2 linked regions of the Coturnix japonica genome follow. The protein of the gene in region 1 purifies or fractionates together with the protein of each later gene. This does not show direct contact. Links are inferred from orthologs where the notes say so. Each region holds a gene or a part of one and is shown on either strand. Other genes may lie near its edges.

The links. Proteins that work in one complex are often made in the same cells at the same time.
Region 2: the proteins of VAPB (region 1) and VPS13A purify together in Homo sapiens (affinity purification with mass spectrometry; 3 studies listed by BioGRID and IntAct, counting the BioPlex papers as one, with this or other methods). This does not show direct contact. The link is inferred for Coturnix japonica from reciprocal best matches to the Homo sapiens genes VAPB and VPS13A.

What each region holds. Positions count from the first base shown.
Region 1 is NC_029535.1:10,102,600-10,106,099, forward strand, and holds part of VAPB (vesicle-associated membrane protein-associated protein B/C), read right to left. Parts: intron 2,166-3,500; coding exon 2,085-2,165; intron 994-2,084; coding exon 817-993; intron 1-816. UniProt on the Homo sapiens protein: Endoplasmic reticulum (ER)-anchored protein that mediates the formation of contact sites between the ER and endosomes via interaction with FFAT motif-containing proteins such as STARD3 or WDR44.
Region 2 is NC_029547.1:33,864,697-33,868,196, forward strand, and holds part of VPS13A (vacuolar protein sorting-associated protein 13A), read left to right. Parts: intron 1-162; coding exon 163-206; intron 207-771; coding exon 772-814; intron 815-1,738; coding exon 1,739-1,834; intron 1,835-2,094; coding exon 2,095-2,196; intron 2,197-2,701; coding exon 2,702-2,811; intron 2,812-3,087; coding exon 3,088-3,147; intron 3,148-3,500. UniProt on the Homo sapiens protein: Mediates the transfer of lipids between membranes at organelle contact sites. Binds phospholipids. Required for the formation or stabilization of ER-mitochondria contact sites which enable transfer of lipids between the ER and mitochondria.

The DNA of each region.
Region 1 (3,500 bases):
TTCTAGCCATCTCCTGTACAGCATCTTTATTCTGTCCCAGCTGAAACCAGCACATAAATGAAACACACTCGTAGAGCATTTATTGTACTGGGAGACACAAGAAGGACCAGGACATAAGAAGTTAAGCTTGTGTCTCTGCTACACACACACGTTACTTCTATGAGTAAAACACAAATGTTTCATAGAGCTTCAAAGAATTTCAACGTGCATCAACCAGCCACACAACATCAGAGCTGACAGAACAGAGTTCCTTTCATTAGGGCCCAGCATTAACAAATGCTGCATTTCCTACCAGTGCTGATACCTCTGAAACTAAATATCTATAATAAATGAAACCCAAACAGGTCCCCAGCTTGGTGATAATTTTCTCACCTGTTTGATTTCGCAGTCACATGCTGGGTATGACCAGAAATGCATTTCTTGTGCTACTTCAGTCATGTCAACTATGAGCTAGAGGCGTCATGACTAACACGTAGCATTGGCACAAAGCTGCCCTCAAACTCCCATCAGTCAGAGAGCACAGGGCCAAATCCAACACTGAATGCTTAATCCAGACTCAGGAAATGAGGTGGGGGAAAAAGAAATAAAAATGAGTGGGGATTCATTCCTTTGGGTTGCTATCCCATCAGCTTCTCCAACTGCATGAGCTGCGAGTTCCTTTCAGAGGAACCATTGATTTCCACACTTTTTTTTTCTGGCTTTATATATGTTGATTGACAACATTAAAATATTGTGCCAAGGATAAGCAAACAAGCCTTTCAGTCTGAATCTTTTATGTCAGGAGAGAAGTAAACATGGAAAAGAAGGAATCTTTACCTTAAACTGTTTATTCTCCTCCCGTAACCTCTGAACTTCTACTTGCAGCCTCTTATATTCTTCCATTATTTTCTTAACTTCAGCGTCATCCAAGGAAGAGCTTATTGATTTAGACATTACAGAGGAATCTGTCTTTGTTGCAGTTGTGGATACAATTTTGTTTATTTCTATGTCATGCTGTTAAAAAAAAGAATGACTTCTGGTTAGTTATTAACACCACATCTGATACTCATGAGGAGAATCGAGTAAGATCTCCTGTTCTACTCAAAATGTGCCTGTATCAAAAGAAGTAAACAACCTTTTTCTATCTTCAACCCTTATTTCCCCTTCCTGACCTGATCTGCAGCAGTAAGTGCTGACAAAAGGACCCCTTGTTTTCAGTCCTTGCACATATATGAGCGGAAATGCCATCAGACCACGTCCCACAGTATCAGAAATGTGACTTATCTGCTGACGTTCTGCTTGGAGTCGTGGTGCTTTCCACACCTTTCCCTCTCCAAGCACAACACAAGCAGCTGCTCCAAGAAGCAGCATGTTGTCAGGAACCACCCAGCTGCTCTGCTGCAGTTCTCTCATCCTTCCCCCCACTGGTTATCACATCTCCATCCTCTTGTTTTCCTGTGGCGAAGAGGAACTCCCAGCCCAAGTCAGGAAACAAAGGCTGCAGAGCTCCAAAGCCCACTGCTTCTCTTGGATTTGAATCCTCCCTCTGTTGTGCAAAGGGCTGGGCTCTAACAAAAACAAAATGCTCATTCCTCACCCAAATTTCTACCCATCTCTTAAAATGAAGCTTTCATTTATAAGTTATCAGGAACTTGTTACTATACCTGCTTTGTTTTCTCCTGATAATTTTTATAGATTATAGAAAAAGTTACCCCCAAACAGAACAGCTGTTAATTCCCACCTAATTCAGATTTCTTTCCTCATCACATCCCTCAACAGAGAAGCTCTCAGCTTTATCAATACCAATCAGTGCTTTGTTTAAAAATAACATTTTTATCCTATGCGATCATTTACTCAACAAAGAAAGAACAACTCAAAGATTTCCTTGTGCTTCCAATGCACTTACAAGGTTCAAATTAGCCGCTAGCAATGTAAAGCATCGCTAGGATTTAAAATGGTTTTATTTTATATTTTAAGAGGACGTGATGTAGGCAGCAAAGCAGAGTGCTCTGCCTGTTGCTTCCATGGCTGCCTGGACACACATGCCATTTTACATGATTTACCGAGGCATTAAAGTCACTTGATATGCAGCTAAAAATACTCACAGGCTTATCATTTTCCGTCGGTAGCTCAAACACACACCTAAGTTTTGAATCCATGAGTTCCTCCGGCTTTGCCTCTTTCCACTGGAATAATTTAATATTAAACAGGATAGTATAATAAGACACATCGAAAAGGTACTGTAGTATATAAACAAATCACACCATCCAATGAAAAACTGCACAAGCATTTATCACATTACCATTAAACATATACAGAACCAGAAATGGAAACCAAATGCACAGCTGAGCAGTAGCTTAGAAGGCCAGACTCCATCACTCTTAATAGTCTGAAACTCAGGTAACTTAAGAGAGAAAATGGAGTTCTTATGACTTTTCCTCACTTTGACCACACTTCTGGTATCACCGTATCGCTCAGCATATCTCAAGTAGGTGTCAAATTATGGGTAACCCCTGTGCAACCTGCAGAAGAACTTGACTCATCCTAAACAGCCGAATCGTACTTCAGTTCTTCTCTGTGGTTGAAGTCAGAGTTCTATTTTAAGCCTGTTGGCTGCCTGAGAAGCGCTGAAAGCTTTATAGTAGCCCAGTAATTTGTCTCACCTGTTTATCCAGAATAGGAAGATATTTGGAGAGTGGTAACAAAACTGAGAAGTGATCAAATGTTACAGGAAAAGAAATGGCACTGGGCTGGAGAGCTCCAGGAAACTGAAAAGACCATCTAGATCCTTAAAAACATTCTTTGCTAGCAGAATAATATTTTATATGGTATAAAGTAACTCATAAAATTAAAGGGTTAGAGATGCAGACTGGCTCATTCACCTAACGATGCAGACATTTCATTGCTATTCCTGTTTCTCTCACTGGATCTTATTTTAAAGCCATTAAACAAACACAGTGCCATTAATCCCCTCCAAAAAGGGAAATTCTCAACTCTACCAAAAAGGCCTCAGCTCTGAAGAACTGTTCAGAAGACGTGCAAAGACTGCTGAAAAAAACCATAATTTTATAAAAAAAAACCCTCTACCCACCAAAAAACCATGCTGCATATTCTAGGGCTGTTTTCTGCATATTCTAGGGTCTGTTTTCTGTTGTTGTTTTGTTTTAAATAAAGTAATGTGTACATTCAAATATAAACGTAGCCCCAGACATTACAGAATAATGGACATTTCTTCTTACTTATTGTGTCCTCAATAGTTATTAAATATTCTCTCAAACTAACAAAAGTTAGAGCAGAGTAAGCTTCCTTTTGCTTTCCTGTAGTAGTAGCAAAACCATACACTTCTGTTACTACCACTTGTAATCCACCATACAAGATCTATATGGGCAACTTAGTTATTTAAGCAGCAACAGAAGGAACAGAGAAAAAAACAATACTTGTAAGACATTTTCCTGGCGCCCACTGGGCAAAGGATCTGCTCAAGGGAAGAAATCAAGACAGACTACAAAGACACGCAATAT
Region 2 (3,500 bases), on another chromosome or scaffold:
AAATTTCAGAGAAATATTTCTCTGTAGTGGGAATGGGCAATGCATTCTTAATCTTTTGTGGATATTTGAGATGTGGATTAGTTCCACAGCTAAGACTTGTTAAGTGTACACTGCTACTACTATGCTTATTGTAGTTTTACTTATGGGCTTTTTCGCTTTTAGGAGCTGTAGCACTGAAGAATCTTGAAATAAAAGAAAACGCACTGGTAAGACAATGAAAGCAAAGACACAAATTGTTGCAAAAAAAATATTGTAGGGCACTTTTTGGTTGATTTTTTTCTTTCTGGTTCTTACTTTAGGATGTGCATCCATGTTTTTGGTGTTGTGTTCCTCCCCCCCCCCATTCCCCCACTAATGTTATCTAGTGAATTTGGTATTAAGTTTAAGATGAACACATATATTTACTGACTTCAATTAGCATATTTTGCAAAAAGAAAACTCGTATAGGAGTGTGTTTAAATAAATAATAATTTTAAAAAAAAGTACTGGAAGCTATATATATATTAATTTTTTTTCTATAGTATATGGAGTAGAAATTTGCCCTGAAGAATGTGCATGGCGTAACAGTCTAAACAAGAAACTCATTGTTTTTGCATTCTGCTATATTTAATATATTGGTCTTATTTATTTATTTATTTGGGGTGTGTGTGTGGTTTGTTTTTTTTCCTTCAATGGTTAAGTGGTATATTTGTTGTTAAGTTTATCTGTCTTCTATTCCTATTTGACAATATTTCACAAGTTGCTGAAATACTTTAAAATGCTTTGTTTCAGAGTCAGCTGGATGTGCCATTTAAAGTTAAAGCAGGACATATTGGTAAGTTACATTTTGTAATTAATTCCTGCAGGAATTACTGAACATACCCTTTTTATTTGCAGGTGGCTTTAGGCATTGCAAGCAAGTAGTTTTCTTGATTTTCATACTTCGAGCATTCTTTTTCCCTTGAGTTAAAATGAAGTTAAAATGTATGTGGTCTTGTTTAGTCTTATCAACATTAACAAAAAATGAACACAGTGTAGCAAAAGATGAAGCTGATAGAAATGTGTCTCATCCGTTGTTTCAGTAAGATTCATCTCTGATTTCGCCACCTCCTTCCCTTTGTCTTTTCCCTTTTATGAAATACATTTCTCACTGCTAAGTGACTGCATTTTAAAAGTGAATGATTTCTTAAAATGAACTAAGTCTAAAGCCACGTTTCCCTTAGACTTCCTCTGGAAATAATTTTTGTGTGTGTGACTAACTTCATATTTTATTAAAAATGGCACCTATATGAAGAATGAGGGATGCTGTAATGTTGGGATCATCATGCTCACAGACATGTGTGCACTATTAAACACTCTCCTTCATGAAAATATTTTTAAAAAATATTTTAAAAATTCTAGTTTTGGCAGTGTTTAAGTGACTGAAAATGTGTGAGTTGTCCTATTCTGTGGGTGTGTGAGAGCATCCTATAGTGGATTGGGAAGGAAGGGGAGATTGTTGTGAAGAGTGAATATAGTTCAAGAGAGTAAGGAGAAGAATTACATGTTTGTCTCATGCAGAAAACTTGTTGAATGTTATCTGCGTACTACTTCAGACAGATGATCCAAAGGAAATCCACTTCAGATGCACTGCTTTTTCTGTTCAAAAAAGTTTAGAGCTTTTGTAGTTAATGCCAATTATCTTTTTAATAATTAATAACTTTTTTCTCTTGTCTGCAGTTTGACTGCATAGCTCAGCGTTTTTCTTTTGTATTTGTAGGTCAACTTAACCTTCAGATTCCATGGCAAAACCTTTATACTCAACCTGTTGAGGCAGTTCTTGATGGAGTTTATTTGCTTATTGTGCCCACAGCCAGTAAGTTAATATAGAGGGGGAAAAAAAAAGCGTGGATGGAATTTCAGAAGTTGCTGTAGTTGGTTGATATTGCTTTCATGAGCTTTATTTCCGGTACACACTGGGTAAATGTCAGTGGAGTAACCTTCAGAAGTTTAGATTTAGTCAAATAATTTTTTGTTGTTATAGAGTCACAAACAAAGTGTGAAAAAAATTATTTTGTAAAAATATCAAAACACATAAAGATTTTTGTATCTCACCTTTTAATATTGTGTATTTAGGCATAAAATATGATGCCGAAAAAGAGGCTAAGCAGCTCATGGAGGCAAGGCAAAGGGAACTGCAAAGGATAGAGGAAGCAAAGCAGAAAATAGCTGACCAAGGTAAGAGTGAGAGCTAATTACAGTATTGCTACTTTTATTTTTTAATTCAGAAAGATGTTGGATTTCTCACTTAGTGTTCTAGACTTTTTGTTTTGTCTCAATATTTAAACTACAATTACAGGTCTTTATTTTCATTTAGGAAGGTTTGTGTTTTTGGATTTGTCTTGAGTACTATTTGACTTAGCTGTTAGCTGTTGAATATTTTGTGTGAAATAGTGTTCATCTTTGGAAATCCGACACTGTCTTGAAATTTGAATATGTAGGTTGCATTGGTACTGCAAAATGTTCCTCCTGGAAAAATGAGATGGTTGCCATCTCATACTTACATACTTTTGAATCACGTGTATCATATCATAGGCTGAAACTTTGTAGGCTGAGGATGTAAATGTTACATGTCATACTGAGAGATAATGTTTTTAAGAAATGAGTGTACAGAGTAATATAAAATTTAAGCATTTGTCAAATTAATTTTATTAAATTCTTTTCTTTTTTTTTTTAAACTTAGATAAAGTGAAAGAAGAGAAACAAGACACTTTTGTAGAAAAACTAGTCACTCAGGTCATCAAAAATCTTCAAGTGAAAATTTCCAACATCCACATTCGCTATGAGGATGATGTAAGTGATTTTGTCTATCATAAGATAAGGGGATATGAACAACTATAGTAAATGAGGAGCTTTTAATTTTTTTTCCCTGTTATTTTGTATGTTGACAGAATACTGTTAAGGGTTTTTAAGTTTCATGGTCTTAAAGTAAAGCATGAAAATTAATAAAAAGCTTGTACCAAGGCATGAAGATACATGTGTGTGTGTTTTTACTGTTGTCTGTCTATTTTCAAGTATAAATGTTAAGCACAATATAATCTTCTTTTGGTATTGCCCTCACTTCGTCAGATCACAAATCGAAGTAACCCCTTGTCATTTGGGATTTCACTTCAGAACCTAAGTTTGCAGGTAATATTATTTTTCATCTAAAAACCATGTTGATGCATAGGTTAAGGAGATGTATATGATGTAGGTTATGTTAATGTAAGTTTTTATATCTGGCAACATATAGTCTAATGGATGAATTCTCATCATGGGCTAAACACAATGGTATTTGGTTTAAAATTATTTGGTTTATCAAATCAAGCACAAATTTTGGAGTGGAGATATTGCGATTAAAGATTAAATCCTGGCTCTTGAACAGACATCTGGGAGGAAATTTTTATTCTGCCTTTGCAATCTGTGGTTGCAAGTCATCAGACTTTTCTAAATTTGTGCTGTTTGTAATCTATGGGTGTTTTATTGAAATTGGCATAAGCCCC